2 linked regions of the Tribolium castaneum genome follow. The protein of the gene in region 1 purifies or fractionates together with the protein of each later gene. This does not show direct contact. Links are inferred from orthologs where the notes say so. Each region holds a gene or a part of one and is shown on either strand. Other genes may lie near its edges.

Region 1 (4,131 bases):
AGCTTTTGTATGAGAGTGAAAAAACTTATACAAACTGCGAAGAGCACATTAAATGTAGATTTGTCGATTATCGAAGATGTAACGTAATAAGTTTATTTTTTCGACAGCAGAATTAACAAAAAAACAAACTTCATTGCTATTGAACAACTTTACCCATTAAGAAACTTCACTTTGCGGTTAAAAAACTAAATGAATAATTATTTTCAGTAGAATAAAGCACACAGACATCTGCTATAGAAAAAAATACATTATGAGCTAGGATTATGAGTTATTATTGTTACCAACGCACCCCATTCGACTCAAACGACATAGAAAAAAACACTCACCATCTAGAAACAACCACCATCACATTGGTTACATTCAAAATTTGTAATAAATGTAAAACACGCCCTCCGGCGTGCGTTTCACCATCGTCATCGCAGTCTTGGAGAATGGTTCCCTGAGAAGTCAAAATTCTATAAGCTGAGATGTTATGAGTTGCTTGAGCAATTTTTTTATTATCAAGTAAAAAATTCATAAATTCTCTATAACAAAAAATTAAATAGAATATCATTCAGTAATTTGGACATGTAAAATACCTTGTCTCTTCTAATGAGTGAACCCGAGCCATGTGACCCTGAAAAACACTTTTTCTGTCTTGTATAATATCCCCATGTATCACTTGTAAAAAAGTTTCCTTCCTGACTTGTTTCTCTTCAACTTCGCCATTTAAAACTTCTGGCTGTGGAGCACTTAAAACTTCTGAACACTCGTCCACAATTTCCTTTAACTTTTCAATCCACTGAAACAGAATAGGGCTTCCCTGGCTACTTCTAAGAAATCATAGTTCAAAAATAATTGTAAGAAGCATAAACACTTCTTGTTCATACTCGTAAATGTTACCAAATTCATCGGAAATTAGCTGCTTCTGCTCTGACGTTAATGTAGGAGCCAATAACTCAAAACTTGGGGGCTTGCTTGACGGATAATCATCATTCAAAGTTATGAATAATTTAACGTTGGGATTAATTTGAATGCTATAACAATTCGTGTCCGTCTCCAGCCGCCAGTTATCATCGTAAATAGATTTCAAAGCTTCAAGTTCCTCACACTGTTCCGCTAAATTATCCATTTTTTTGGAAAACACATTTTAGTTTTGAGGTTATGTTTACACATTTCTGTCATACGTCAGTCATACTTTGACAGTGCGAATTGAGGTTATGATTTTTATTCCAACAATTGTCTTGTAATAATAAATTCAGTGCCACACAGTATTTAATTACACAAGATGCAGTCTCACCCGAAATTAATGGAATTGCGTCCTGATCGATCATTACTGAACTCTGATTTTGACGGTTATAAGTTGTCTTTGGCCGAGATCCCCACAATTAGCGAGCAGTTAAAAGTACCAGTGGACAGATTAGTGCCTGATGTAAATCAGTATTCGTTGCTCCATGCAAAACTCTTTGCTCTTCACAATCATTTGATTAGCGAAAATGATAATGAATCAGTTTATTTTGTTGATAAAGAGTTGAACGTTCAAAAATTTAGCATTGAATCATTGACACACACATTCTGTAAAACAACCGTGTGGACGCTACCTTTACAGAGAGAAAGGAGCTTTGGGGATTACAATATTTCCCTGAAATTTGCCTCAAGTCAGATTGCCGTTGTAGCAGATGGAATGGGCTATCTTTACGTATTAGACAGGGGCTGCAGAGACATTGACGATAAATGGAAGATACTCTTTTCTGGGGACGTGACAGGTCCTGATCAGAAGTTTGTTGTAACTGATGTGGTTTTTAAAGAGGCCCCAAAACCACATTTGCATTTATTACTAACCAGTATAAGACAGAGGGAAGCGAATGAGAGAAATTCAACAATTTTGCACTGGATAACTTTGGAAAAAAGCGATTCGTGGAACCAAGTGGCTTTGAGGGAACTAACAGTTAAAGGCTTCGTCCAGTACGCAAATTTCGAACGCACTTGTGACGCAGTTTACGTAATCAGCGATGATGGTTGCAAATTCACCCTGGATTCGGAAAATGAAATCAAAAAAGCCGAAGAAATTCAAGTTGAAAAGAAATACAAGTGGAGCCAAACCAGTGAAGATTTGACCATTAAATTTCCACTTCCTGAAAATTTTAAGAAAAATTTAGTCCACGTAACCACCGAACCAACCCACATCTCGGTCAAATACGAAAATGAGACTCTCCTAACCGGCAAATTGTATCACCAAATAGACCCTGATGTGACCTGTTGGACCATTGAGTCAAGCACTCTCGTCCTAACTTTACAAAAGTGTGAATCCGGCCTTATGTGGCCAGAAATCGTCGAAGGTGGCTACGTTTTTGGCGAATATTTGCCAGATCCGGCTTTAGTTAGCGAAATTGCGGCGAGATTGGCCCCACTTACGAGCGATACCGAGATGGGGCCGCCCACAGGGACCACTTTCAACAGCCAACAAGTGGAAGAGTGTGACTTTGAGTGCGATAAATTGACTGTGTTTGAACGAATTTCGCGCGATTCGCATGAGGTCACCCATAAAATCAACTTGGGGTCACATCAAGTCCTGCTAAGTGTTGGGTTGGAAGAGAACCAGCCGTTGGCTGTAGGGATCCGAAGTGATGTTGATACGTGTATCTGGCAGCCGACTAATGAAAATGAGTTTCGATTGGTTCATAAGGGTACTTTGCTAGCGCTGGGTTATATTCAGGTGAGTTAAGATATATGGAGGACTAAAACTAAGTGGCGAAACGAATTTGAAAATCACCCAATTTAACCGACTCGGCTCCAAATTGATTAAGTTAATTTAAATTTATGACTTGCTCAAAAATACTTGTTTAAAAAAATTGCAGGAATGTTGGCTTTTAGTTTTTAATCAGCTGTACAAAACTCACGGCTATTATTTTCAAAAGTAATTTTTTTTATCGAGCATTTCACAAAATTTACATATTTAATGTAAAATTGTAAAGCGTGGTAAATACAAACAAACTCTACAATTTAACAAATACAGATTTACTAATCGATATTCCTAATTACAAAAAATGTTTTTTTAAGGTAGCTAAACGTCGTCAGATTTAAATTGGCAAAACCAGCATATTTTCATTAAATACGTTAACTTAATAATTTAGTAGTGCATTGATGACCTTTTGTTTTTCTCAATCACTTTAAGCTTAAAAGTATCTTCAAAATCAAACTAGAGCAAGAAATCAAGAAATGTTTTTATTAATTTTAGTAAAATATATGAGGCATTTGAGAACACTTTTGAAAAGTAAATTCTTTTAATAAATAGATGTATTTTATTTAATTTTTAGTGTTTCGACTGATACGTGTATAAGTTTTTTAAGGCAAATTTTTACTAAACAACAGGGAAGTTTTATAAGGTGTTAAATAAATTGGTACTTGACCAAATCGCACATAAGAATTAAATACATTTTAATAACATATAGTATAAAAAAAATCACACATAATACGTATACGTGTATAAGTAACTTAACTAAGTTACTAATTAGTAATTTAAAATGTTGTGAAGTAAATATGGTCTCTTAAATTGTCTATAAAGCTCTGCTTTAATTCTAAAGAGAAAATTATAATACAATTTAATTTTTTGAGATATCATAAACTTCTAACGAAAAGCACAATTGATCGAACAGTGATTTTAGAATATGGATTGTAATTTAGTTTTTTATTTTAACCTTTTCATGAACGTTATTCACTTTCGGTCTTTCTTTTATACAGAGTCAGTTTAAAGTAACACATAAAATTCGTAATTCTTTTAATTTTAAAAAATAAGACAATGCAAAAACAGGTAAGTTAGCATTTTAATTGAGCTTAAATTTGACCTGACTGCATCAGTCATGGCGGACAATATGGCGGCACCATGACGTCATCACAGAATTTTTAAATGGAACGGTATAATTTTTCTTATAAAATCAGAAGCTCTACTAATAAGTCTTTACAATATGGATGAACCAAACACGTAATTTTTTTTGACATCATCATTATAAAGTGACGTATAAAATTCATATTTCTTTTATTGTTCAAAAATGAAAAAAATGCAGAAACGGGTAACTTAGCATTTTAATTGAGCATAACTGGATCAATCATGGCGGCCAATATGGCGCCGCCATGACGTCATCAATTTTTTTT
Region 2 (4,214 bases), on another chromosome or scaffold:
GCACTGTGGGACTAAACATTGGAGCAGGGCAGTTGCCCGTATCCAACCAATATAGTTGCGCTCTCAAGCGTTTCCTACAGAGCTACCTTAGTCAGAACGACTCGAGCAAAACAAACCACAACATTGTGGTGTTCTGTTCTGTTCAATGTCTGTTATTTCAAGCATTTATTAGCTATATTACTAGCGGTTTTGCTCGAAAATCGTTCCGAATAACACGAACCCGCGTGACAACAGACCAATAAACAGGTAGCAGTTGATAAAGTAAAATTCATGGACAACAAACCACTTTCATTCTTCATTAAACAAAATCAACATTAAGATGCATCTAATAAACATTTTAAAAAATATTGTTTTGCACAAGCGTTTGAATTATTGATTACGGAGGTTTCGGAAATTGGCTGAGTCGTATATTCAACAAAAAATTTAGTTCATTAATAACGATAATGGTTTTTTGCTCCGACTATTATTCGGCATCAACTACCACAAAATCAAAAATATAATTTATTACTTATTAGTCTCCAAGCATAAATACTGTGGTAAAATCGTTTAAAAATGGGAACCTTTAATTCTTTTGAGGTTTGTTATGTGGCAAGTAGTGAAAGTACATTCAACGCTGCCAATTAAATAAACCAAAACAGTGAAAATGAAAAAATTATTTTGAATGAGTCTAATCGGAATAAATAACCAAATCGACGTTTAAAGCAAGGGCTGAGGGCCTGCTTCAGAAAAACGTTAATAAAATAAATACCTGACAACATCGCCGTAATGGACAGTATCTCATTGGAACAGTTGTGGTTGCAGCTGGCAATGAGCATTTTCGCCAATTGTGGATCGAGCGGAAACTCGGCCATAACCGCCCCCAAATCGGTGAGATTTCCATCATCATCCAACGCCGCCAAATAATTCAACAATTCCAAGGCCCTCATCAAGGTTTCAGGCGCCGGTGGATCCATGAAGTCAAAATGAACCAAATCATCAATTCCCAGTTTCTTCAATTGTAAAACGACCGAACCCAAATTCGATCGTAAAATTTCTGGATAGGTGTTGTCTTGCATTTCGTTCTTGTATGCTTTTTCGGTGTAAAGTCGGAAACATTTCCCCGGCCGAGTCCTTCCAGCTCTTCCGGCACGCTGCTGTGCTGAGGCTTTACTAATCGGCGAGACCAATAACGACTCGACACGAATTCGAGGATTGTAGACTTTTTGTTTCGCAAATCCGGGATCTATCACAAACACGACACCGTCTATAGTCAAGGAAGTCTCCGCAATGTTGGTCGAGACGACAACTTTGCGTCCGATCGCCCCATTGGCCTTATTAGGGGGCGCCTCCTCGAAAATACGTTGCTGCAAATTCGGAGGCAGCGTCGAATACAACGGGATACATTTTAGTTCGCCCACTTCGGGGCCCAGATTATCAATTTCGCGTTTGATTCGTTTGCAAGCAACTTCGATTTCCTCCTGACCGGTCAAAAATAGGAGAATATCGCCGGCTATTTCCTCACACATGTGGATTTGGATGACGGTACGGATGGCGGCTTCGAGATAATCGCGTTCCGGTTCGGGAGTATAGAAAATTTCTACTGGATGCGTACGACCGGGGACGTTCATTAAGGGAGCGTTATCGAAATATTGCTGGAATTTGCCAGCGTCTAGAGTCGCCGACATAATAACTAATTTCAAGTCGGAGCGTTGTTTAATAACTTCTTTTAAAACACCCATCAGAATGTCGGTGGCAAGGGTGCGCTCGTGGGCTTCGTCGAGCAAAATGCACTGGTAGGCGTCCAGCATTGGGTCGCTCATGCCCTCACGGAGCAACATACCGTCGGTCATGTACCTATTAAATCACACAGTTGTAATTTTTATGCTTTAACTTAATTTAACTTAACTGCTTTTGTAAATATATGATAAACGTAATAAAAAGCTCGAAAACGACAATTTTTTTTTTATTTCAAACCCAATTTACTGACTTTTCTGTCTGATTCATTAAAATTTCTCAAAAAAAAAACAATAATTTAAGTCCAAAAGAGAAAAAGAGTATTTTGAAAATAATAAAACCTCAGAAAACAAGGTTTAATAGAATTCGGCGAGGAAAAAACTAGTTTTTCACAAGGAATAATCATAATTGGGGAAGAAGACAAGAGTTTCTGGAAAATATTTATAGCCCCTCTTACTTGAGGATAGTTTTGGCCGACGAGCAGTCCTCGAACCGAATGCTGTAGCCCACCTCTTGCCCCAAGGCGACGTCCATTTCCTCTGACACTCTCTGGGCCACAGACATGGCAGCCACCCTCCTGGGCTGGGTGCAGCACACCCCCTTTTTCCCGACCGACCTGGCGAATTCAACGCACCACTGTGGAATTTGCGTCGTTTTCCCCGACCCTGTCTCGCCAACCAGCACAATGCACTGGTTTTCGGCGAGCAAACGCATGAAATCGTTGCGGTATTCAAAGACAGGAAGCGTGATGCGTTTGCGATACAACTCATGGTACTTATTGGTGTACGGCAAACCGGTGTGCGGGTTGATTGAGGCGTTGGTTACTTGCGGGGTGTTCGTTACTGCAGTGCTAATCCCACGTTCTTCCCTGAAATATCACGAGGCGGAAAATGTGGCTGAGTGACATTTGTGGTTACTCACCTTTTCTTCTTTATAAACGGATCCAACACTTCGATTCTCCTTTTAGACATTGTTAGATAGACTACGGCTAATAGTAACAAGCTCTCGAATTGTCTACTTGTTAACAAATAAAAATAAATTGCATTAAAGTTTGTTTGGAAATAAAACTACGACCACGACTCCATGCAACTTTGCACGGTCGATAGAGCAGAGCGCTGCCGTTTTATTGACGTTTATTTGCATGGCGACCGAAAGCGGGAGTTTAAATTTTTTGGAAAATTAAGGGGAAAAATGAAACCACGAAATTATTGTACACCGTATAACAATTTATTAATTAAACTTTATAACAATAATATAATTTGGTTTTTAGTCAGTCAAAATTATGTGTACTGCGCGAATATTGCTGATTCTGGGGAGAAACATATTAATTGCAACTTTTTAAACCGACTTCATGTAAAATTTTTCGCATAAGTTGTTTTATGGGACATGCCTCTGATGCGAAAATAGTAGTAATGTAATTAATTGTGCCCTGAATTTAAAATATATTTTAATTAATTAATACATTTATAGTACAGCACGTATGAAATTTGTTAATCCTATCGTCACTTTTTAATTAAAATTTTACACAGTTACATGTTTATGAAGTGTGTTAGTGCCGTCTGGCCATCTTGTTATACAAAGAATAGTAAAAAATTAATACAGTTTAAGAAATCTTAAGTCTATTACCACATTTAACCGTATCATTTAAAAAGCTCATTTTGTTGGCAAATCAGTAGTGATGGTTGGCTCTTGTGATTGTAGTTCTCGATATGCATGTGATGTATTGCATATTTGGTAATTTACGGACATTGCTCTTTTGCTGACTGAACGCAATAACAGATAACAGAAAGAAATCGATTTTAAGACATCTACTGTTACGATATATTTCACTATATCATATAATAATCGTATATTTTGATTAACATTTCCTAGATATTTATTTAACTAAACTAAATAAAAGCCGAACTTATCTCCTAATATCTACAACGATCAAAACGAAATTTTAGTCCAACAGTTTCTATTTTAAACAGTAATTCGATGAAGTCTATTCACTTTAACCACTTAAGGAAGAACAAGGATCTTAAGCTAAACTGATGTAAATACGGATAAATTTACAATTCTTGTACCTTACTCACAAGTTCAAACACACACGTGCTTTGAACTTGTGCAGTGTTACTGAACTACGGGAAAAATCGAATATCATTCTGAAGTACTTCCAGATTTTCGAATATTCACTTTTACAATAAATTTACGAGACCGCGTGTGTAATAAAGGGTGTAAAATTTCGTTACAATTTTGTGGTTCGTGTACGCTGACACAAAAATAATTTCAAGTTTTTTGTACTATTTCTCAAAAGCCAATAATAATGTGACGTTCTTTTATCAAAAATATTTGTCGTTTGGGAGTAAATTATGTTAAAATTTACATTTACGTCTTACAGTTTATTAATTCATAAAGAAAAGGCAAAGAGGCACTTCAGAATTAAATAAATTCAGGAAGAGAATCAGACACCTGTGCATGTAGACCCACGATTTTATTCTCTTAGCACTTTAAATTAGGCG

Evidence for each region. The genes of interacting proteins can lie anywhere in the genome.
Region 2: the proteins of nudC domain-containing protein 1 (region 1) and Dhx15 purify together in Homo sapiens (co-immunoprecipitation; 3 studies listed by BioGRID and IntAct, with this or other methods). This does not show direct contact. The link is inferred for Tribolium castaneum from reciprocal best matches to the Homo sapiens genes NUDCD1 and DHX15.

The regions. Positions count from the first base shown.
Region 1 is NC_087394.1:22,049,237-22,053,367, forward strand, and holds the start of nudC domain-containing protein 1, read left to right. Parts: upstream 1-1,267; coding exon 1,268-2,695; intron 2,696-4,131. Other genes in the region: protein IMPACT-B, read right to left, coding at 327-524, 579-812, 870-1,111.
Region 2 is NC_087397.1:4,419,874-4,424,087, reverse strand, and holds the start of Dhx15 (putative pre-mRNA-splicing factor ATP-dependent RNA helicase PRP1), read right to left. Parts: upstream 2,852-4,214; 5' UTR 2,685-2,851; coding exon 2,635-2,684; intron 2,582-2,634; coding exon 2,171-2,581; intron 1,834-2,170; coding exon 749-1,833; intron 12-748; coding exon 1-11.